Ovis aries: one gene and its partners. The protein of the gene in region 2 interacts with the protein of the main gene of each other region in a pairwise test. Links are inferred from orthologs where the notes say so. Each region holds a gene or a part of one and is shown on either strand. Other genes may lie near its edges.

Evidence for each region. The genes of interacting proteins can lie anywhere in the genome.
Region 1: the proteins of AP1M1 (region 2) and keratin-associated protein 10-12-like interact in binary tests that used the Homo sapiens proteins (3 or more experiments, as listed by UniProt). The two-hybrid records come from large-scale screens. The link is inferred for Ovis aries from reciprocal best matches to the Homo sapiens genes AP1M1 and KRTAP10-7.
Region 3: the proteins of AP1M1 (region 2) and ZBTB43 interact in binary tests that used the Homo sapiens proteins (3 or more experiments, as listed by UniProt). The two-hybrid records come from large-scale screens. The link is inferred for Ovis aries from reciprocal best matches to the Homo sapiens genes AP1M1 and ZBTB43.
Region 4: the proteins of AP1M1 (region 2) and TGOLN2 interact in a two-hybrid assay, tested with the Homo sapiens proteins (2 studies listed by BioGRID). The link is inferred for Ovis aries from reciprocal best matches to the Homo sapiens genes AP1M1 and TGOLN2.

The regions. Positions count from the first base shown.
Region 1 is NC_056054.1:262,544,447-262,548,362, forward strand, and holds keratin-associated protein 10-12-like, read left to right. Parts: upstream 1-1,345; 5' UTR 1,346-1,495; coding exon 1,496-2,395; 3' UTR 2,396-3,401; downstream 3,402-3,916. UniProt on the Homo sapiens protein: In the hair cortex, hair keratin intermediate filaments are embedded in an interfilamentous matrix, consisting of hair keratin-associated proteins (KRTAP), which are essential for the formation of a rigid and resistant hair shaft through their extensive disulfide bond cross-linking with abundant cysteine residues of hair keratins.
Region 2 is NC_056058.1:6,589,501-6,593,117, reverse strand, and holds part of AP1M1 (AP-1 complex subunit mu-1), read left to right. Parts: intron 1-129; coding exon 130-260; intron 261-1,614; coding exon 1,615-1,762; intron 1,763-3,617. UniProt on the Homo sapiens protein: Subunit of clathrin-associated adaptor protein complex 1 that plays a role in protein sorting in the trans-Golgi network (TGN) and endosomes.
Region 3 is NC_056056.1:9,310,358-9,314,527, forward strand, and holds the start of ZBTB43 (zinc finger and BTB domain-containing protein 43), read right to left. Parts: upstream 2,816-4,170; 5' UTR 2,696-2,815; intron 1-2,695. UniProt on the Homo sapiens protein: May be involved in transcriptional regulation.
Region 4 is NC_056056.1:57,188,567-57,192,922, forward strand, and holds the start of TGOLN2 (trans-Golgi network integral membrane protein 2), read left to right. Parts: upstream 1-1,541; 5' UTR 1,542-1,571; coding exon 1,572-1,617; intron 1,618-1,860; coding exon 1,861-2,732; intron 2,733-4,356. UniProt on the Homo sapiens protein: May be involved in regulating membrane traffic to and from trans-Golgi network.

The DNA.
Region 1 (3,916 bases), on a different chromosome or scaffold from region 2:
TATGCCACATGTATGCCAAGTTGGAGTCAGACACAAAAGGCCACCTATTGTGTGATTCCTTTTACATGAAATGAGCAGAACAGCCAAAGTCATAGAGACAGAAAGCAGAGCGGTGCTTGACAGGGACTGGGGAGGGTCTACCCAATACTACAAGATTTCCTTTTGGGAATGTCCCGGGACTAGATAGTGGTCATAGTTGTACAGTGTTGTGACTGTACTAAATGTCCCTGAATCGAACACTTTAAAATGGTTAATTTTATATTATTTGTTACATGTAATAAAAAAAAAAACGTACCTGTTAAGGATTTCTAACAGGGAGGCCCCTAGAGCTTCCCTGGTGATCCAGTGGTTAACAATCCACTTGCCAATGCAAAGAACATAAATTTAATCCCTGGTCTGGGACTAGCCCACGTGCCACAACTACCAAAGCCCATATGTCCTAAAGCCAGTGCTCCTCAATAAGATAAGCCATTGCCAAGAGCAGCCTGCCCACTGCAACAAAAAGTAAGCCCCGTTTGCCACAACCAGGGAAAGCCTACATGTAGCAACAAAGACCCAGCTCAGCGAAAAGTTAACTAATTTTTAAAGAAGAGTGAGGACCTCAGACTGTGCAGCACTGGGTGTTACCAGTGTTGTAAATCTTGGCTGATCTTGCAGGTGGGATATTTGTGTTTTAATTTAGAGCCTTTTAATTATCAGTGATATCCAGTAGCTTTTCAAATGTTGATTGGAAATTTGAATGGACTGTGTGCTTGTGTTTGATTCTATTGTATCATATCCTGCTTTAGTTGTAAAGGCTTTCAACTTTTACATTGCAAATATTTTCTAGCAGTTCAATATCTTCACTTTATATGCCAAAAATATTTCTTTTGGGTTCTGATTGAAGTTACATCAGGGATGGATTGATCCAGAAAGAGTGGTAATTCAGTCTATAGCTCTGAGTTTCTTGCTTACACCTCTCGGGTCCCAGTGGATATATGTTGTGTGTGTTCTTTGGTCAAGTTTTCTATTTCGCTCGCAACTTATCTTCTTAGTAATGCTCTTAGGTATAGTTTGGGCTGCGGTAAAGCTAGGCATCTTTCCCTATGTATTCTCACACTGTCAAGGCTGGCGTGAAGTGGGAGCGGCTGCAGTGGCTGGGAACTTGTCTCACGCTCAGCCCCTCCCTCCGTGAACGTGACTTAAGAACCCTGGCAGGCATTCAGCAGAAACTTGCGTCTTGCATCCTCCACAAGTTTTCTGGAGCCAAACAAAGAACAGATGGGAAAACAGACTCTTGCAACGTACTCACATGTTTAATGAGTAAAAGCTAATTGTAGAAAACACAGCAGCCCTAATGAGGGTCAGCTCCAAACAGCAACAAGGAAGGGAGAGCGTGGGAGCCTCCGACCAGGGCCACGCGCATACTCAGGGCGGGTATAAAAGCAGACACCCTCAGCACTTCACTCACACACTCACACACACTTACACCTCCTCCAGCCGTACCACCTCCACCATGGCCTTCTCTAACCTGTCTGCTTGCTCCAGCGACCTGAGCTACAGCAGCCGGATCTGCCTGCCTGGATCCTGTGACTCCTGCACCGGCTCCTCCTGGCAGGTGGATGACTGTCCAGAGAGCTGCTGCGAGCCCCCCTGCTGTGCCCCCAGCTGCTGCACCTCGGCCCCCCGCCTGACCCTCCTCTGCGCCCCAGTGAGTTGTGAGTCCAGCCCCTGCTGCCAGCCAGCCTGCAGCAGCTCCTGCCCAGCCTCATGTGGCCAGCAGTCCAGCTGCCAGTCCTCCTGCTGCACCTCCTCCCGCTGCCAGCAGGCCTGCTGTGAACCTGTCTGCTGTGAGCCTGTCTGCTGCAGGCCCGTCTGCTGCAGGCCTGTCTGCTGTACACCTGTCTGCTGCACACCTGTCTGCTGCAGGCCTGTCTGCTGTGAGGCCTCCCCCTTCTCAACCTCCTCATGTTGCCAGCAGTCCAGCTGCCAGCCCTCCTGCTGCACCTCCTCCTGCTGCCAGCAGGCCTGCTGTGAGCCCGTCTGCTGCAGGCCTGTCTGCTGTACACCTGTTTGCTGCAGGCCCGTGTGCTGTGAGACCTCCCCCTGCTCAGCCCCCTCATCCTGCTGCAGACCCTCCTCTTCCGTGTCCCTCCTCTGCCGTCCTGTGTGCCGCCCCGTGTGCGGCCCCACCTGCTGTGTGCCCGCCTCCTCTTGCAAGCCCAGCTTCTGCCGCCCGGCCTCCTCTGTGTCCCTCCTCTGCCGCCCTGCGTGCCGCCTCGCCTGCTGTGTGCCCACCTCCTCCTGCCAGCCAAGCTGCTGCCGCCCAGCCTCCTCTGTGTCCCTGCTCTGCCGGCCTGCATGCTCCCGCCTGGCCTGCGGCATCCCCACCTCAGCCCCGGAGCTCTGCTGCTGACCGGCCAATCACCCGCCCTCCACAAGCTGCTGTCTCTCTCCCAAGCTCCAGGAGCCCCTCTGCTGGCGCCAGGACCTCCCCTCTCCCAAAGTTGGACACGCAGCTGCTGCCCAGAGAGGATTCGAACTTGGCAGGCATCTCAGAAAGCCCTTGACAGGGTGGACTGTGGGGCCCCAGGAGCCTCCTCTGCAGGACAGGCTGCTTGAATCCCATATGACAAACATCAGCTGCTCTAATGAATAAAGCGTTTGTGTCAGGAAATATGGACCCATGTCTGTTTTGGCCTCCTCCCTTGGGCCCCCTCAGCCCCTCCAAATATGGCCTGTAGGTGCTCTGCTGGCAGAAGCCAGGCAGTAAAGACACATTCTCCCATCCGAGTTCAAAGCAGCTGAGAAACAACAGGATCTGAAAGCTGGTGCCATTCACACATTCTATGTCCCTTCCTACCCCAGGCTCACTCTCCCTGCAGTGGACGGCCCTTCAAGGCTGACATGGAGGCGGGTGTGGGTGCAGAAGGCTCAGATCCTGAGTGGGCCCTGGGTTCCTCCCCCTGCCCATGCAGGTTGAGGGTGACTTGGGGAGCAGCAGAAACCCTCCTGGGTCTGGATCGGAGAGTCCAGGGTAAGTGCTGTTGGAGAGACGTGCCAACACTGAGGAGGAGATTCTGGGGGCTCCAAGGGGGTGCAGTGTCAATTTAGACATCACTCATTCTACTCAAGGTTTCAAAGCCTGACCGAGGAGGGACAGAACAAAAGAGACGCCTTGTGAACAAACCCTCAGGACAGTAGGGGAGAAAGAGCCTGCAGTCTTAGTGGACATTAGCAATAGAGGAAGTGGGCACCAGTCAGCACCAGTCAACTACTTATCCCCCACCAGAAACAGACTGATGAGGCCCATAGGAGCAGGAGAACAGTGGTGGCTGGGGCAAGAGGGACCAGGAACTGAAGGCATCTCCCCAGGGGATACTATCCCCACCCCAGCTCAGTTCCATCCAGGAAAGAGGGAATGGAGCAAAACCCTAAGAGGACTGGTAAACAGGTGTCCTGCCTCAACTCGTAAATCTCTTTCCTGAGTTTACTCAAGACAAGTACCATTTTTCTCCTTTGCCTTTAGCTTCTTTTCTTTTCTCACCTATTTGTAAAGTCTCCTCAGATAACCATTTTTGCCTTTTTGCATTTCTTTTGGTTGGGGATGGTCTTAATCACTGTCAAGTGATCAAAGGCAAAGGAGAAAAGGAAAGATATACCCATTTGGATGCAGAGTTCCAAAGAATAAAAGGAGAGATAAGAAAGCCTTCCTCAGTGATCAGTGCAAAGAAAAAGAGGAAAACAATAGAATGAGAAAGACCAGAGGTCTCTTCAAGAAAATTAGAGATACTAAGGGAACATTTCATGCAAAGATGGGCTCAATAAAGGACAGAAATGGTATGGACCTAACAGAAGCAGGAGATATTAAGAAGAGGTGGCAAGAATACACAGAAGGACTATGCAAAAAAGGTCTTCACGACCCAGATAACCACGA
Region 2 (3,617 bases):
GGAACCAGGCAAACACAGCTTATGAACAGAAGGGCTGTTGGCAGGGGCCTCGGGGCACGAAGTGCAAATGAACTTGTACAGGCGTTCATCCCTCCTCTCACTGATCTGCCTCCCACGGCAACACTGCAGGTATTTTCAGAATACTTCAAGGAGCTGGAGGAGGAGAGCATTCGAGACAACTTCGTCATCATCTACGAGCTGCTGGACGAGCTCATGGACTTCGGCTACCCCCAGACCACAGACAGCAAGATCCTGCAGGAGTGAGTGGGTGGCGTGGGGCCCGGGGACAGGGCTGAGCGGGGGTCAGGCCAGGCGATGTCACTGTGTTGAAGTCATGCGCAGGTCTGGAGGTGCAGGGGGCAGATGTGCATTCCCGTTGCTGGTCCCCTGCCTGTCTCCAGCCCACCAGAAGCTTTCTAAGTTCCTGGGGCAGCTCTGGCTCCTTTCCCACTCAGCATCACTGCCTGGCGTGAGCGTGCCTGCTGTTGCTGGGCCTTCATTTCCATCCACAGAAGTGCGCTCAGTGCCTTGTTTCTGGGGACTCACCTGCTGCTGTTCTGCTTTTGTTTTTCAACACGTTTGTTCAGGTCTGACTGCCTTGGGTTCCAGTTAGCACACGCAAGGTCTTCTTGCAGCATGCAGGCTCCACTCTAGTTGTGGCATGCGGGCTCCAGAGCCAGTGGGCCCTGTAGTTTGCGGCCCGAGGGCTCTCTAGTAAAGGGGCATGGGCTTAGTTGCCCCATAACCTGTGGAATCTTAGTTCCCCGGCCAGGGATCGAACCTGCGTCCCCTCCATTGGAAGGCAGATTCTCAACCACCAGACCACCCGGGAAGTCCCACTGCCTTTGTTTTTACTGTCATAAATGAGATTGTGATGAAAAGTCTCCCTCCTTTGGAATCCTGGGCACCAAATAATGGTCACCGTTGATTAAGCACGTCTGGGGAAGCAGGCCTCTTGTGAGCACTTTTTTCCATTTCAGTTAGTCAGAGCTGCTGTCTTCCCATCTTACAGGGGAAGGGACTCTCTGAGAGGCCGTGTGACTTAAGCACACCCCATATCTGTTGTTCCACAAGTGGAAGCAAACGGGCTTCCCAGGTGTCTCAGTGGTAAAGAATCCACCTGTCAATGCAGGAGATATGGGTCTGATCCCTGGGTTGGGAAGATCCCCTGGAAGAGGGCATGGCAACCCTCTCCAGTGTTCTGGCCTGGGAAGTCCCATGGGCAGAGGAGCCCAGTGGGCTGCAGTCCACAGGGTCAGGTGGCACGTGACTTCTGACTAAACAGCGAGTGGAATCAGGGTCACCAGGTTACTCTCCCAGGGAGGTCGGTGGTCTCTGCATGCCCAGCGGGGAAGCATTTCATGCCCAGCGGGGAAGCATTTCATGCCCACTACTTGTTTTCCTCACCAGCGCTGTCTCCTTGCTGCCCTGCGACTGAGATCTCTGTCCTCATAGTAACTGAAGAGTTTGTTGGGGTTTTGGAAATCGTGATCTTGTTGTGTTAAATGGCCCCAGGTGAAACCAGAGCCTGCCTCTCCTGGCGCCTGCTACAGGGAGGGGCTGTTTTCAATATGGCAGTGCCTGAGCCAGCTAACTCTGAGCCCGGGCCCACAGGTACATCACCCAGGAAGGCCACAAGCTGGAAACGGGGGCCCCACGGCCCCCAGCCACTGTCACCAACGCAGTGTCCTGGCGCTCGGAGGGCATCAAGTACCGGAAGAACGAGGTGTTCTTGGATGTCATTGAGTCCGTCAATCTCCTGGTAGGCTTCCTTTGTTTTTTAAAAAATGTTGTCTTCTTCGTGATTGGAAATAAAAGCAACTTGACTTTTAAAATTAGCAAGGCCCTGAGAAACAGTTTCTGTGTGATAGCAGATCGGCGGGATTCGGTCAGGGCTGCTCACTGCAACCCGAGCTTGTTTCACCTGCGTTCGTTTCTGTCCTTATTTAGAATGAATGCATGCATATCATTAAAAAAGAAATGTATAGGGTTAGACAGCCAAGGGCTCCAGGACTTCCTGGTGGGCCAGCGGCTGACCCGATGCTACCACTTCAGGAGGCCTGGGTTCGACCTTGGTTGGGGAACTAGGATCCTGCATGCCTCCAGGCAAAAGTGAAGCAATAATTAGAAAGCGAGCAAGCGCAGGGCTCCGCAATCAGAAAGGCCACAGCACAGAAGGATTCGTTGTCATCTTTCGGCCGCTCCTGCTGTAGGTTTACAGACATGTTGCTTGTGGAAAACTGAGAACGTAAGGTGTAGTTCTACAGCTGGCTTTTGGAGTTGCTTGGGGTTTGGTTCTTATTGTTTTCTTTCATTTTGTTTATTAAGTTATTGTTAGTTGGTAACTGACCACATCTTCTGTGAATTTAGCACGTGTACAGACTTGTACCCATTATCATAACCGGGCATCAGAACAGCTCCATCACCTCAAACACCTCGCCCATGCTGCCTCTCGGCAGCCACGCCCTCCGCCTGTTCCCGCCCCTGGCAGCTGCTCCTGCGGCCTCCGTCACAGCTTGGTCTTCCTGAGATTGTCAGATGAGTGGAGTCGAACAGAGTGTGTCAGTTTGAATCTGACTTCTTTCAATATATGGCCTTGAGATTCATCCAAATTGCTCTGTTTATCCAAAGTTTATGTCTTCTTTGGTTCATTTATTTTATACTCTGAATCACAGTTGGTTTATCCATTCACCCATCAGAGGACATCTGGGTTGTTTCCAGTGTTTGGCAATTGTGAAGAGTTGCTATGAGCATTTCTGTATAGATTTATGTGTAGACAGAAGTTTCCATCTCTCTAGGGCAAATACCCAGGAGTGGGATTGCTGGGTCATATGGTAAGTGTATGTTTGACTTTATAGGAAACTGTCCATCTACTCTCCAGTAACATTTTTGCATTTTCACCAGCAGTGGGTGAGAATTCCAGTTGCTCCACAGCCTTGCTCAACGGTTTTATTTTTGCCATTCTGCTAGGCATCTCATCATGGCTTTAATGCACATTTCCCTAATGGCTAATGATGTTGAGCATCTTTCTGTATGCCTCTTTCTCATCCATATATCTTTGGAGGTGTGTCTCTTCATGTCTCTGATCATTTTTAAGTTGAGTTTGTTTTCTGATTGTTGAGTTTTGACAGTTCTTTGTGTTGGATAAAGTCTTTTTTTTTTTTTGTCTTTATCCAATGTGATGTGTGATCTGCAAATATTTCTCCTGAGTCTGTCATTTTTCATTCTGTTGGCGTTGTCTTTCACAGAGCAGAGGTTTTTGAGAAGGTCCACATATCCAGTATTTTGGGGCTTCCCTGGCAGTCCAGTTGGTTACCACTTCACCTTCCAATGAAGGGGGTACAGCTTTGATCCCGATTGAGGATCCAAGATCTCACATACTTTTCAGCCAGAAACCAGAACAAAACGGAAACAGTGTTATAACAAATTCAATAAAGGATTTAAAAGTGGTCCACAGAAAAAAATATTCAGGAAAAAAACCAAAATATCAAAATTTTAAACTGATTATGCTCTTGGTGCCATGTCTGAGAACTCATTGCCAAACCCAAGGTCACAGATTTTTCTCCTAAGTTTTCTTCTAAAAGATTATAGGTTTATAGTTAGATCTATGATCAATT
Region 3 (4,170 bases), on a different chromosome or scaffold from region 2:
AAAAATCACATTTTCAAAGAGCTTGTTAGTTTCAGGAATCTGCATTCAACAACTTTTTTGGTACTGTGGTAAAATATACTTAACATAAAATTTACCACTGTGACCATTTAAAGTTTACAATTAGTGGCATTAAGCACATTCATGCAGTTGTGCAACCATCACCATTATCTGTCTGCAGAATTTTTTCATCATCCCAAACTAAAACCCTGTATCCATTAAATAATATTCCATCCTCTCCTCCCCCTTGATGTTGAGCAGGGCCCTGTGGGGCTCCAGGACACTGAGGTCTTTTTGTCCTCCATTTCTCATAGGCAAGACTCCAGCCTCCACAACGTTCTTAGTTCCAAAGGGCAGAACAGTTGCTAATTAAGGGAGGAGCAGCCAAGAAATCACCTGAGGTAAGATTAAAGGGACCAGAGAGGCTCATCAAGATTAGGAGAATGAACCCAAGACCCTGCTTGTGTGTTTGTGCTCAGTGACCCTGCAGAATAGATCCCACTAGGCTCCTCTGTCCATTGGATTTTCCAGGCAAGAATACTCGAGAGGGTTGCTATTTATACCCCAAGGGAATCTTCCCAACCCAGGGACTGAACCCAAGTCTCTTGAGTCTCCTGCATTGGCAGGTGGATTTTTTACCACTGTGCCCCCTGGGAAGCCCACCTAAGACCCTGCACACACCCTAATCTTGTCAGCAACCCCGCCCTTTTGAAACTTTGCATAATAATGCAAGACTGTTACTGCCTTAATCGTATCACACATCCCAGTTCAGTTCAGTCGCTCAGTCATGTCCGACTCTTTGCGACCCCATGAATCGCAGCATGCCAGGCCTCCCTGTCCATCACCAACTCCTGGAGTTCACTCAGACTCACGTCCACCGAGTCAGTGATGCCATCCAGCCATCTCATCCTCTGTCGTCCCCTTCTCCTCCTGCCCCCAATCCCTCCCAGCATCAAAGTCAACTCTTCGCATAAGGTGGCCAAAGTACTGCAGTTTCAGCTTTAGCACCATTCCTTCCAAAGAAATCTCAGGGTTGATCTTCAGAATGGACTGGTTGGATCTCCTTGCAGTCCAAGGGACTCTCAAGAGTCTTCTCCAACACCACAGCTCAAAAGCATCAATTCTTCGGTGCTCAGCCTTCTTCACAGTCCAACTCTCACATCCATACATGACTACTGGAAAAATCACACATCCCAGTCTGACTATATAACCTCTCTCTATTCACCTGGGAGTGGGGCACAGCTCTTGAGGCGCTAGCCGTTTGCCTGGCAAAGCAGTAAAGCCACTCTTTCCTTCTCTTCCATGACTCTGTATTTCTGTTGGGCACTGGTGCACAGAGAGCCAAGATTTTGCCAACACCCTCAGCCCCTGGCAAAACTATACTCCACTTTCTGTCTCCATGATTTTGCCTATTCCAGATACCTCATTTAAGCGGACTCATTCAATATTTGCTCTTTTGGGTCCAGCTTACTTCTCCACTGAATACTTTTGTAGAGCAAAGAATGAACCCCAAGCGACTAGGTTTCTCACAATTTAACTGTACATAGTGACATGATCTTCAAACTAAGCACACAGCTCTCCCAGAAATCCTGCTACTGCCCCACGAGCCCCAACGGGCAGAGGATCTCTGACAGACCCTTCCTCAGCCTGTACACAGGCTTGGTTAGGCAGTGGTAACTCAGAGAGCAGGCTCCTTAGAACCCTGGAAGGCACGTGAATGGAGCAAAGGGAAGTAAGAGTCGGCAGTTCTGAAAAACCATGGGTAAGAAAAAGTAAGGATTCATCAAGCTAATTTAGCTTGCAGATGGCCTTCTCTCTGTCCTCCAGAAGCTCCTACACCCTGACCGTTTCGGCGACACCTGTCAGAGCTGAGGTCAGACTGCAGTCTAGCCTCTGATCATGTCACCAGTGTAGGAAGCTTCACAGGGTCATGAGTCACCTGCCATGGCTGAGAGGTCCGGGCAGGCCGCCCCGCCCAGAGAAACCTCTGAGGAGAGGCAGAAACAAGAGAGAAAGACACACGACTGGCAGAGAAACACAGAATGAGTAAAGAGCTGGACCGACAGGCAGGCCGTCAACCAGAGTAAAGACTAAGAGGGAAACACAGGGTCAAGGGACACAGAAGGTGGAAACAGAAATGAAGACAGGACCCAAATACTCGGAGTTGGGCTCGAGAGAAACACAAAGCTGACAGAGGCCGAGTTAATAGGCATAAAGGGCAGGCGATGACAGGTGACAGACAGCAAGAGAGGTGAAACGCAGAGGTAAAGAGACCAGGATCAGCGAAGTCCCAAGCGCAGTCTTTCTCCTGGCTTTGACTCAAACGAGAGGTCGCCAAGCCGCGCCCACTCCGCGCCCCTGAAAGGCCGGAGGGGCGGTCTGACGGGGGAAGAGGGGGTGGCGGGATCTCTAAGCGCTCTGGCCCGCCGAGGTCCGTCACCGGAGGGTGACCTTGGACGAGACTCTGCCTCGGGGGCCTCGGTGTCGCTGCACGAGCTCCGGGCTGGCCAGAGACCGCAGAAGTGGGACCCGGAGCGCCGGGACTCCAACGGTCCCGCGTGCGGCTTCGGCATCCCGGTCGGCGTAATGGGCCTGACGGTGTCAGCGGTGAGCGCGCCGGAACCTGGAGAGAACCCCTCAAACCTCTCCGGTTTCCATTCCTGCCCCCTTGCTACGCGTGGTCCTGACTCTGCCATACCTGCCAAGGGCTCGGCGCTCACATAGCCCGCCGGTGGGATACTTTCCGCCGCAGCCGGCGCCGGGCCCGCTCAAGCCGTAGCTGCCGCGACCGCCTCAGCCTGCGCCTCCCGCCTCCGGAAACGCTTACCGGTCCCCCCCGCAAAACTGCCAGTGCTTCCGGGGGTGCGTCTGAGAGAAAGCGATGTGCGCATGCGGGACTCGCATTCGGGGCGGGGCGTCAGGAGCGTGCTCCGAGAGAACCCGCGGCTGCGCAGTACAACCCGGAGCATGTCAGTCTCCTGTAGGTACTCTAGGGCCAAAGCTGACATTTGCGGAGAGGAGTGCTAAATAATCCAAGTCTATGCCCCAACCAGTAACGCTGAAGAAGCTGAAGTTGAACCGTTCTATGAAGACCTACAAGACCTTTTAGAACTAACACCCAAAAAACATGTCCTTTTCATTATAGGGGACTGGAATGCAAAAGTAGGAAGTCAAGAAACACCTGGAGTAACAGGCAAATTTGGCCTTGGAATGCGGAATGAAGCAGGGCAAAGACTAACAAGAGTTTTGCCAAGAAAATGCACTGGTCATAGCAAACACCTTTTTCCAACAACACAAGAGAAGATTCTACACATGGACATCACCAGATGGTCAACACCAAAATCAGATTGATTATATTCTTTGCAGCCAAAGATGGAGAAGCTCTATACAGTCAACAAAAACAGGACCAGGAGCTGACTGTGGCTCAGATCATGAACTCCTTATTGCCAAATTCAGACTTAAATTGAAGAAACTAGGGAAATCCGCTACACCATTCAGGTATGACCTAAATCAAATCCCTTATGATTATACAGTGGAAGTGAGAAATAGATTTAAGGGCCTAGATCTGATAGATAGAGTGCCTGATGAACTATGGACTGAGGTTCGTGACATTGTACAGGAGACAGGGATCAAGACGATACCCATGGAAAAGAAATGCAAAAAAGCAAAATGGCTGTCTGGGGAGGCCTTACAAATAGCTGTGAAAAGAAGAGAAGCGAAAAGCAAAGGAAAAAAGGAAAGATACAAGCATCTGAATGCAGAATTTCAAAGAATAGCAAGAAGAGACAAGAAAGCCTTCTTCAACGATCAATGCAAAGAAATAGAGGAAAACAACAGAATGGGAAAGACTAGAGATCTCTTCAAGAAAATTAGAGACACCAAGGGAACATTTCATCCAAAGATGGGCTCGATAAAGGGTAAAAATGGTATGGACCTAACAGAAGCAGAAGATATTAAGAAGAGGTGGCAAGAATACACAGGAGAACTATACAAAAAAGATCTTCACAACCAAGATAATCACGATGGTGTGATCATTCACCTAGAGCCAGACATCCTGGAATGTGAAGTCAAGTGGGCCTTAGAAAGCATCACTAGGAACAAAGCTAGTGGAGGTGATGGAGTTCCAGTGGAGCTATTTCAAATCCTGAAAGATGATGCTGTGAAAGTGCTACA
Region 4 (4,356 bases), on a different chromosome or scaffold from region 2:
TTAGGGGAGCGTGCCCTTGAACTCGTTTGATGCTCATGTTTCCAGCTACCTCTCTGTTATTTCTACTTGACTGTCTCACAGGCAAGAATAAATTCACTTTTAGTGCCCCAATCGTATTAAATCTGGTTTTCCACATCTTCCTCACATCACACCTCCCTCCCATAGCCAATCTATCTCCAAGGCCTGTTGGTATTTCCTCCCAAATTTATATTGAGCCCAACCACTTCCCTCTATTCTCACCATACCTATGCTAGTCCTTCTAGGACTACTGCAACAGCCTCCTAAATGTTTAACTCCTAAACACACTATTTTCTTCCCATAGCCTGTATGAACACAACAGAAATCTTAAACAGCATGATACAAAACGATATATCCAATAATTGCAATTTGGGAGAAAATGATTATAGAATAAAAGACGGTGAAAACACACTACTTAAGAAACAGGGGGCGGGAGTATATTTATATTTATCCTAATTGTATTTGTTTTAAAAAATCACTGAATAGGAACTTGTGGAGGAGGGCTAGAGAGCAAAAACATTCTATTATCTATTATTCGCTGCTCAGGCTTCCTCTTGCTGCAGAGAACAGGGGCTTCTCATTGTCACAACTTCTCTTGTTGCGCTGGCTCTAGGTCACTGGCTTCAGTAGTTGCGGCCCACCGGCTTAGTTGCCCCATGGGACCAAGGATGACTCATGTCCTCTTCATTCGCAGGTGGATTCTTAACCACTGAACCACAAGAGAAATCCCACAAGAACTTTTTGAGGTTTTTCATTTAAAGATAATTGCTTCAGTAACTTTCTAATGTGAACTTTTCGAAAAATAAATCCCATTTTTTTAACCGTTAGATTATATTACCTAATCAAATATATCGTTTGCAAGACAAAAATACACTAAAACGTTGATAGTCACTACTCTGGAAGCGTGAGGCAGAGATTCTGTTTTCTACTTGTACACATTCAGTGAATTTTCTAGCGTGAATGAGTAATTTACACGATCAGAAAACAGATGAACTTTTTAGAAAAGATCTTTGACACCGTTTCCGTCGGGGGTCAAAAGAGCGAGCAGGGTTGCGAAGGCTCCCGCTACAAAGGTGACAGGGTGGGTGTCTGTTTCCAGATTTCCACACGTCTGTGCGCTGCAGGGAAAGAACCATGAGGGAGGGAGAAGGCAGAAAGGCAGGCAGAGGATAGGAGCGAGCAAGCACCAGGCCCCAACGACTTCACTCCCGTGGTTACGTCCGTGGGCCAGGGAGCGCCTGCTTCGCCAGTATTGTCTCGTAAATATGACAGCAAAGAAGGAAAGGGGGACTAAGTTTGTAGCGGCCGCTGCGGAGCTACGAAAGCAGGAAAAGACAAATACGCCTTCTACACGCAATACAGCCCCGCCACCAGCAAAAGCAGTCACACCTCGGGGGAAACAACTGAACACCAGCTTGCCGGGCTTCTTCCAATCCCTGCCCCTTGCCTGGGTGTGGCTGCGGCGACGCACACAGGAAGGGGCGGGACATAACACTAAGCCCGCGTGCTGATCTCGCGAGAGCATTAGGGGGCGGAAGCACAGTCGGTGCAGGATGCGGTTCCTGGTTGCGTTCGTGTTACTGAGCGTCGCGGCAGCGGGTAAGAATTCCCCCCCGCCCCCACCCCACCGCAGTCCCAAGACCAGCCCCCGGTAATCCCACTGTCGCCCCGGGGCCCGTCGTCTTCACCGTGGCCTGTCAGCCCCTGACCTCACTCTTCCTTGCCCGAACCTCGCCACCGCTCCGCTCGCCAGCACTCCCCTCCCTTTTGCCCGTTGCAACGTTCTGAGGAGTTCTTTCTCCCCGACTGCCTCTCTTCAGCCAGATAGTTTCTCTGTTTCAGACTCGCAGCTCAATTCTGCTCCAGGCGCCGGAACAACCGCTCAGAAGGAAGATCAGGCTTCTGCAGGAAGCTCCAGGCAGCAGGTCTTGATCGCTCAGTCTAGGCTAGAACACAGTAACCAAACCTTTCTAAATCAGACCGACGCGAAAACCGACCCTGGCAATTCGGGAGCCACGCAGCGCCCCGCGAAAACCGACCCTGACCATTCGGGAACTGAGCAGCGCCCGACGGAAAGCGGCCCTGACAGTTCGGGAGCCGAGCACCGCCCCGCGGAAACCCACTCCGATAATTCGGGAACCGAGCAGCAGCGCCCGACGGAAAGCGGCCCTGACAATTCGGGAGCCGAGCACCGCCCCGCGGAAACCCACTCCGATAATTCAGGAGCCGAGCAGCGCCCCGAGAAAGCCGACCCTGGCAGTTCCCCCAGAGACCAGTCCAACAAGTTGGTCTCCAGCCCCTCTTCTGATAACAAGGAGTCCACCAAGGTTCATGTAAACACAGTCGCTGGCAAAGCTCTGCAGACTTCCAGAACTGAACCTGGGGGGAAAGTGTTGGCAGACCCCTCTTCTCCCCAGCGGGAGGGAGGAGGTAAGCCTTTAGAATTAACTGAAGATGTGGAGCCCAAGGAGACTGAAGAAGGGGATGCAGAGCCAGAGGAAGACGCACCACCCAAAGAAGGGAAAGAAATGGTTGGCCCTGCCTCCAGAGAGAACCGTGAAGGGACACTTTCGAATACCTGGAGTAAGAAGGATGACCTTTATAAGGATAACCTTGGAAATGCCAATGCAGAGAGCAGCCACTTTTTTGCATATCTGGTGACAGCAGCCATTCTCGTCGCTGCCCTCTATATCGCCTACCACAATAAGCGGAAGGTAAGGCAAGAATGGCCTTAAGAGGAGGAGTGGGATTTCCTCCTCTCAGAAAGCCTGATGTGTGAGTATCCATCACTCATCAGCCTGTAAGCCCTGGGAATTTAAGAAACAAACTTCCTGTTTTTTTTCCTGAGATCCTGCCAGGATTCTCTATTGGGTTTTCTAGGTTCTTTTTTTTCCTCCCTTTGTCTTAGAAATCATTTGTTTTCACATCTGTTTCCTCTGCCCTCTGCTGTTGCGTCAAGTGTGAAGCTTAGGACATTATTATGATTTGACCCAAATGAAGGTCTCCTCCCATAATCTTGGAACTTAGAATCTTTCACATCCTGAGAGAGGACCTGAGGACCTGACAGTTTGTATGTAGTTAAAGCAGTGATCTTCCTGTCTTCTAATTTCTAGCTTCCTCTCCCAAGCATTTGTCTTCCATCTGCAGGAACAGAAAGAATGGTTACAGAGTCTTCAAGACCAGCAGCAGAGCGCCCAGGGGTCTATGTTCTGCAGCTGAGTTTCTGATTAGAAGAAAGGCCAGAAATTGCATGAATACACTCATCTTTTACTTCAGCAGGGTTTGTTGTGTTGCTTAGTAACCACTCCCCAACGACAAAATAATTGCATTTCTTTTTTTGTTTTTAACTGAAATATAAAAAAACATGATGTGTAGTTGATTTACAATGTTGTGTTAGGTGTACAGCACAGTGATTCCGTTTTTTATATATATATTCATTTTCAGATTCTTCCCCAAATGATTGCATTTCTTATGAGCCCTAAGAATTTAGTAGTTTGTAATAGTCTGACTAAAATTGAAGGGTTCAATTCATGATAGTCAAAAGGCCTAGGGCTGTGAGAAATGAGAGAAGACATTTAGTAAAAGTGGTACATTCCTGGGAATTCCCTGACAGTTATGGGGTTAAGACTCCATGCTTTCACTGCAGGGGCCACAGGTTTGATCTCTGATTGAGGTTCTAAGATCCCCAATGCCACATGAATGTGGCCTTGAAAAAAAATTTTTTTAAGGTACATTCCTTATTCTACATCCAAGTGCTTATCATGGAGAGTAACCTTAAGTATGAAATGAGAGTGGTCAGGTTCAGATGAAATAAAGTGTGGGGTGAAAGAGTACATTTGCAGATTAGAAGTAATTATTGCTTAATACTAAGATAAAAGGAGGGGGACTTGCTTAGCCTGGAGGAGTCTCAGCTGGGGAGGAGTTGGCAGTTCTTTTCACTGTGTTGTTGTTCAGTCACCAAGTCCCGTCTGATTCTTTGTACCCCAAGGACTGCAGCATGTCAGGCTTCCCTATCCTTCACAATCTCTTAGAGTTTGCTCAAACTCATGTCCATTGAGTTGATGATCCCATCCAGCCATTTCATCCTCTGTCACCCCCTTCTCCTCCTGCCCTCAATCTTTCCCAGCATCAAGGTCTTTTCCAGTGAGTTGGCTTTTTGCATCAGGTGGCCAAAGTATTGGAGCTTCAGCTTCAGCGCCAGTCCTTCCTGTGAATATTCAGGGTTGATTTTCCTTAGGATTGACTGGCTCACTCTTGGAGTCCAAAGGACTCTCAAGAGTCTTCTCCAGCACCACAGTTCAAAAGCATTGATTCTTCAGCACTCAGCTGCCTTTATGG